Linked DNA regions of Neurospora crassa OR74A. The protein of the gene in region 1 interacts with the protein of each later gene in a biochemical or structural test. Links are inferred from orthologs where the notes say so. Each region holds a gene or a part of one and is shown on either strand. Other genes may lie near its edges.

What was found.
Region 2: the proteins of rco-1 (region 1) and NCU02121 form a complex in vitro, tested with the Saccharomyces cerevisiae proteins (2 studies listed by BioGRID). The link is inferred for Neurospora crassa OR74A from reciprocal best matches to the Saccharomyces cerevisiae genes TUP1 and CTI6.

The regions. Positions count from the first base shown.
Region 1 is NC_026503.1:1,905,220-1,908,969, reverse strand, and holds the start of rco-1 (transcriptional repressor rco-1), read left to right. Parts: upstream 1-1,518; 5' UTR 1,519-2,038; coding exon 2,039-2,171; intron 2,172-2,324; coding exon 2,325-2,406; intron 2,407-2,481; coding exon 2,482-3,373; intron 3,374-3,433; coding exon 3,434-3,750. UniProt on the Saccharomyces cerevisiae protein: Acts as a component of the CYC8-TUP1 corepressor complex which is involved in the repression of many genes in a wide variety of physiological processes including heme-regulated and catabolite repressed genes.
Region 2 is NC_026501.1:1,173,968-1,177,717, reverse strand, and holds the start of NCU02121 (transcriptional regulator), read left to right. Parts: upstream 1-1,211; 5' UTR 1,212-2,649; coding exon 2,650-3,242; exon of another isoform or gene 3,243-3,414; coding exon of another isoform or gene 3,415-3,425; coding exon 3,426-3,725; intron 3,726-3,750. UniProt on the Saccharomyces cerevisiae protein: Component of the RPD3C(L) histone deacetylase complex (HDAC). Responsible for the deacetylation of lysine residues on the N-terminal part of the core histones (H2A, H2B, H3 and H4).

The DNA of each region.
Region 1 (3,750 bases):
TGATTGCACATCGTTGAGCGGGCCGCAGCTCTCACAAAATGAAGCAAAACCGAACCTGGGGGAGCGTTCGTAGAAGATACCTAGGTCGTCTGAAGGAGGCGAGTTTGTGTTCCTGTATATTGAGGGTCAAAGTCCATCTCAAAAACTATGCCTGATTGAGGTGCTAAATCGATATCGTGCAGACCGAGTGCGTTATGGTGTGCTGTATGCCGTAGCATTCATCGCGGTGGCAGTGGGAGTTGAGGTTGTGTTTGTGCAGTGGTTTGCATTGTTTCAAAACCGCATGTGTAAGCGCTTGGACGATGGTTTCTGCCCCACGGTACTGTAGTGTACGTAATGCCGTGGAGACCACTCTGTGGTTTTGTCTGGAGTTTTGCGCCTAATGGCAGACGCCTCGCAATCACCTGGTTTTAAAAACCAACGGATGAAGGGAATGTTTTCCTTATCGACACTTGCAGTAGAGGTAGTCACTGTTTGCAAAGGTAGCCTCTCAGGATACCCGTCGCTGATTGCCCGCCTGGATCAATCCGAACTTGGGAAGATGAAAAAAGGCAAGAAAGAGTTTCCAATGTACTGTGTACACCTTTGCTGGCAGCAAACTTGTTAGCGCGCTACCGCCACCGGACAGTATATAGGGGCTTAGATGTGGTCAAGCTAGCCATCTCTTGTACGAAAATTAAGTTCTCGCCACCTACAGATCACCGCGCTAACAAATTTTATGCTGACACAGGTGCAGTGTACAATCGTACGTGCATCTACCAGCTACCTTGTGCTCGTAAGTGACAAAGCCCAACCACAGGACGCGGTGAGCAGACATCGAGGGGTGAGTCCGTCAATGCACTCCCCCAACCCGGGCCGACCTTCTTTCGCTTTCCGGGAATGGAACCATCACAGCAGTGACCAGGGCGGCACCTCTACGTAACTGGCGCACGAACACTGACGACTGGGTCTCCAGAATCTCGTAGATCCACTCTTGTGCAGATGCTCTCCACAATCGCACTTCTGGCCTTACCATTCCATATTCTACGCCTAGGTAGGTAACACAGGGAACCCTAAACCCTGCTATCCATGTCGGAACTCGTAGCAATGGCGGGTGGCTCATGGACTATGCGAGGTACTATGCGAGGTACTGCCTGGAGCACTTTGCAAGCTCAGTGACTTGTCCGTTTACCGACGACATCAAAGGAAGCCACGTACCTCTCGGTCGCAAGATACGACGAAAGTACCTTCGTTCCGTCCGATGTACACTACATGCACTAGGTAGGTACTAAGTGCGTGACCGGTGCCACCCTCCACAGGCCACAGGCTGACAAGTGGAACTGCGAGCTTGCTGCCCTGTCCGCAGCCCGTCGGCAGCCCGCCTCCCTGTCCTCCCAAGAAGGAAGTCCAAGACCCAAGTGCCCGCAGCCGCTGGAGGTGGGAGTGGTGTCGCTGGCTGCAAGTCCATGGGAATCCACACCGGGAGCCGCCCCAGAACCCGCACGCCCAGGTCATTTCTGCCACCTGCTGGCCATTCCACTTCTTTTTCCTTCTCCTCCCCCCTTTGGCAACACTACTCCGGAGCAACACCAGCATTTGCAGCCTGCAGCCCTAACTGCTTCGCTCAAGTCCTCCCAACAACAAACATCGGAATTGGCGCAACGCCAGCATCACCATCCCCATCAACCCCTCGGATCCCGTCATTGGCCCTTGGTTGTGTACAGTGCCATTCGACTAGGGATTCCGAGCCCCCCTCGCGGTCCCCATCTTTTGCGTCTTTTCGCGCTGCGATCCGTCCCGCGCGCACGCCATCCCAACGCACGGTAGCTCGACGCTCGTTCCGACCTCACGCCGGCTGCACTCCAGCTGCGTCATCTTACGAGCCAGCCGCCTTTGTATCATCGGTCGCATCCCTCGTTCTCGCTTCCTTCAGCCGATTGCTGTCTTGAGCTTTCGCAAACCTGCGCGACCGCCCTAGCGTTCCCGGCTTGGATTTCTGTCCGTTTCTCGTCGGCTTCACCAAAACATAGCACGCGGACAACCGCCCCAACTACGCAAAATGTCCATGTATCCGCACCGACCCATTGCGGGCGCGCCCATTCAGAACATGGGTCGCCTCAACGAGCTCCTCGATGGCATCAGAATGGAATTCGAATCACAAGCTCGCCAGTACGAGACCTGCCAGCATGATTGTAAGGGTTTCTCCACACATCCCTCCGCTGGGTGGCCATCCTCCTCCCATCTGGCAACGAGGGAATCCAGCTGTACATGGTGATGCGGGCTGTTTCGGGCCTGTGATCAGCGACTTAGGCTTTGGGACGTGTACCCGGCTGACCAGACAATAGTGGCAACGCAGCTTCAGGAGCTTCAGGTCATCCGTGAGAAAGTCTTCCAGATGGAGCAGCACCAGATGAACGTAAAGCAAAAGTAAGCCAGTCAAACAAAAAACCCGGTCAAGCATATCCGAGACTCGAAAGAAGTAGGCTGACAATATCCGGCCAGGTACGAGGATGAGATTGCGCTGCTGCGTCGCCAGCTTGAAGCCCGCGGAGGCGCTCCCGGCAACATGAACCCGCCTCCACAGCATCCTGGCCAGCAGCAGCCCCCTGCTATTGGTTTGGGAAGCAATGTCTTTAGCGCGATCATGGCAGGTCAGGGCGGGCAGGCCTTGGTCCCTCCTCCCCCTCCACCGCAGCAGCAAGAACAGCCAGCACATATGCCTGCGCCCCCTGGGCTGCAGGGTCCTCCTCCCCCGCCCCCGCCGCCGTCTCAGCAGCCTCCCTTCCAGCAGCAGTATCAAGGGCCCCAGGGACCTGGTAACTTTCCTCCCCAGCCGCCCCAGAGCACTGCCTCTCCTGGCCCTGCCGGCAAGCGTGGCATCGGCAGACCTCCCGCTGGCGGCCCGGCTACTCCTCAAATCAACACTCCCATCCCGTACAACGGCGGCCCTGCTCAGTCGCCCCAGGTCCCAACCCATCCTACCCCGGACCATACCCGGATGGCTCAGCACCACCAGCCTCCTCCGCCTCCGCCTTCTCAGACCAACGCTTTGAGCGAGCTTGATCCCGACCGCCTTCCGAATCACATCAAGAAGATGAAGGACGATTGGTGGGTTATCTTCAACGCGGCCGTTCCCAGGGTACTAGACGTTGAGCTGGTTCACACTCTTCAGCATGAGAGCGTTGTTTGCTGCGTGAGGTTCAGCATGGATGGCAAGTACGTTGCCACGGGCTGCAACCGTTCCGCTCAGATCTACGACGTGGAGACTGGCGAGAAGCTTTGCATCCTGCAGGACGAAAACATCGATCTTACTGGAGATCTTTACATCAGAAGCGTCTGCTTCAGCCCTGATGGCAAGTATCTTGCCACTGGAGCCGAGGACAAGCTCATCAGAGTACGTGTCAATGCCTTAGCCAACTGTTGTGGTCTTCTCTTGCTAACATGCTCGATATAGGTCTGGGATATTCAGTCGAGGACCATTCGTAACACCTTCCATGGCCACGAACAAGATATCTACAGTCTTGACTTTTCTCGCGATGGTCGCACTATTGCTTCCGGCAGTGGTGATAGAACCGTCCGTCTTTGGGACATTGAAACCGGGCAGAACACGTCTGTCCTCTCTATTGAAGATGGTGTCACGACTGTTGCTATCTCGCCCGACAAGCAATTCGTTGCTGCCGGATCCCTGGACAAGAGCGTCCGTGTCTGGGACATGAGAGGCTACCTTGCGGAGCGTCTTGAGGGCCCCGACGGCCACAAGGACAGCGTCTA
Region 2 (3,750 bases), on another chromosome or scaffold:
GGCGGGCGGGATGGTAGGCGGGACCTAATCGACGCACCCTTGGCTGCATTATGTAAGCATCCCGTCCTTAACCACCTCACTGCAGTTGGTCGTCTGGACAGCGCGGGTTTCGGGCTGTGATTCTGAGGAGAGGGCAGCCAGAGGTCGGTGACCCAATGCCGCTGCCTGCCATGCTGCCAGAACCTAGAAGTACACCCGCTGTTCCGCCCCCGCCTTCCACTTGTAGTTCCCGGCCGGGGGAGCCTCCATTCGGTTTCCGGTTCCCATCCGAGTGAATAGCCTCACGCATGGCATTGGGTCTCTCCCCAACATGGAGAGATCAACGGAAACTGAGAGATCACCCAATAATGATACCCTAGAGGCCGACAGCAATCACGAACCGTCGAGCATACTGGTGTTCCCACGGGTACACTACTGGAGACTCCAAGGAACAGCCCCAAGTGAGATGCTGAATTTCCATACCGTGACCTCTCTAGCTACTGTACTGAGCTACCTGTACGTTTTTCGATTTCCCAAATCCAATTGGAAGATCATGGGGAAGTACCGAGTCGACTGATGTTGACCCATTAACTACCTCTAGGTACCAGCTAGTGTACCTTGGCTTGACTTCCCCAGCAACCGAGCTTCTTTCTGGGTGGGCAAGTCTCTCTGTCTCTACTTACCATAATCATCGCCGTGCACACTCACATTGAAAGCGACCTGAATGGAGGCCGGGTTGTGGGCGGCGGTTCCTGAATGCCGGACGCACTGTGCTTACACTAGTACTAGTACAGTATTCGAGCAAGAGCCAAGCGTTTTCCATCACAGGCAGAACACTGCGGTGCCGGTGCCATTCATAGGTAGTTGCATCTGATTTGATGCCGCCCTGACAACACCATGTACTGCCATTTTCCCTTTGAGAAGCAAACGAGACCCATTCGACGACGGTAGGTGCAATTTCACTTGGAAAGCTTTGCTCAACTCGACAACAACCTGAACCAGACCCGACCTGCAGCGAGCAATGAACCGAACCCCCGCCTCCCCTTCAGGTTCCCATTACCCCAAATAATTTCCCCTTGTGTGCAACAACGAGTTTCGTTGTCTTCCACCATCGATGTTTGTTTGAACCACATTTCACTTCAAACCCTTTTCGGTTTTCAAGATGCCCCTTATTCTCTTGTCGGTCCAGGTTGGACACGGGCTTCACCTATTGAGGCGTGATGTCATAGCACGAACCCTCCCCGACGGACGGTACCAGTAATTCACCACTCTACGGCCTCTACATACCTATGCATACGACTTTCTTACATCAAACTATATCTACTCGTCTCTGGAAACTGAACAGCATCGACAAGCCGGCTTTCGACGCCGCATCCCAGAGATCATTGATATCCTGGTCGAGCTGGCCCATTATCTTTTTCCCGGCACCGGATTGGTCAACATGGGGACCGAGCTTCCAGATGGCCCCGCACGCTTTGGCGCTGCCACTGCCGCTACCGTGAGGAGGAGTGAGGAGGTGCCTGAGTGACGGACGGGATCAGACCGGGGTTGGTGGGTGGGTGGGCGGCAGCCAGAGTGGGTGCCCGGGCGGACAGCTTTCTGCCAAAATTTACTGCAAGCAACTGCAAGAGCGCCGTGTCGGGTTGGTGGTGGTGGTGGTGGTGGTGGTGGTGGTGCATCGTGGTGCCGTGGTGCGGTGCGGTGGTCCCGTCTTTTTTGGGGCTGGCAACTCGACTAGGTCCCGGGCTCGGTTTCCACCATTGTACACACACCAAGAGAGACCAGCCATCGCTTCCTCCTTCCAGGCAGTGCCGTCCTCGCTCTCCTCTTTTCTGGAAATCCTCACCACGTACACCCTGGGCCACAGACACGAAAACCCGACTTGTCGAACTTTGTTATTTCCGTCATGAGAAATAGTTTACCACCCACCTACCACGTCGACCACCGCTCCCCGATCTCCAATTTGGCGTAGCCAGCACTTCGGATCCCGTCATAGACATCTCGTCTCGCCGTCCTCCGTCCCCTCTTCTTCGTTTTTTTTCCCACCCTCGTACCCGCTCAATCTTTTACCCAAGTTAGCAGCGAACGAGTCTTGCTTTCGTGGACATTTACACAAGCAAGCCGGCGACATCCTCATCTCGAGCACGCCCCCGATCGAGCACCCTCCTCACTTGGCTGGATTTTCGACCTGAGCCCTCGCGATCCTCCGCCGTCGGTCGATCCATCCTCGATAATTTACGCTTCTCTACCACCAAGCACCGGCTTCAAGCTACGATTCGAACCTAGCACGAGTCTCATAACCTCGACACCTTCGATTGCATCTTTACTCGACGATTGTGTCAGATTCAATTTGCGGTCGAGACTCGGCCTCGTCGAGTCCTCGCTTCTCCGTGACCACATCGACAGACGACCGCGTGATTCGGGTCTGCTCCCGCCATCACGCCCCATTACTTCTCCGACCATCCACATCGCAATTGTCGAGCTTCAAGTAAAACGAAATTGTTTTAGTGCTAGGGTGCGTCATTGTCCCCAGGCACTCCGGATACCCGACCGCAGAACCCCCTCCCAACGGGCCTGCGGATCGCGTTCTTCTCTTCGACACCAATCGTGTCGATTATATACCCTACATACTTCGAGCTCCTGCCTTGACTGCGGCCCCAGCTGCAAGCAATGGCAGGGTCCGATCCGAGGCGGTCGTCAAGAGCGCGAACCTCCCAATCACAATCGCAAATCTCGTCCAGCACGTCCAGCACGTCAGGTCGTGGTGAGCGCAGCACCAGGTATTTCAACAAAGCTGTCTCACCACAAAAGTCAAGCTCCTCGGGATCGCTATCCTCTGAGGCTCCAGACGAGACAATTACAGCGGACGACTCGTTTGGTACCCGGCGTCGTACCCGCGGTCAGCAGGAAGAAAGAGAGAGGGCAAATAACAAGTCTGAGCAGGTCGAAATGGCACACGGCGACGATGACGCTCAAGACGAGGACGAGGCCGTTCGTTGCATTTGCGGCTACGAGGACTACCCAGGCCCTCCGCCGTTTGACGAAGACTCCAAGCATGGCTTGAAGGACGGCATGGATATCGATCCCATATTCGCGACCGATGTCACCGACGATGCGGCCGGATTTTTCGTACAATGCGACATTTGCAAGGTCTGGCAACATGGCGCCTGCGTTGGCATTATGACCGAAGAGTCAAGCCCAGACGAATATTTCTGCGAAGAGTGCCGCAAAGAATTCCACAAAATTTTCACAGCGAGCAACGGGTAAATCTTGCATTTCTTTGGTCCCGTGGCTGCATGGTCGGGAGCTGAACGTCAAAAGTTCAGCTGGAGTGCGTCAAAGCCCATCACACGCCTTTGACGTTGCCTCACCTTTCATGCAATATCCTCCTCCATCCACGACAATTGTCAAATCACTCTCCAGTCGACTGACGACATGATTCACAGACAACGCTATTCGCACTACCTACCCCTTAAGCGCCCCTCTCGAACCACTTCTAGATCCGCCTCTCTCAACAAGGATGGCACGAGATCACCGCCCAAAGATAAACCGGAGGGCCGCAACGGACGTGGTACGACCACTTCCTCCGCGTCGAAGCGAAGATCTACAATGAACAGCCGAGGCGCTGACTACGACGAAGCTGAAGCCCTGAGACGGGCGATTGAAGCAAGCAAAGAAGATGCAGCTTCTGAACAACCCGAAACTACCACGAGAAGAACAAAGCGAGGCAGAAGCGATAGCGAAGAGTAGGTCCACGTCCTACGCTGCCCG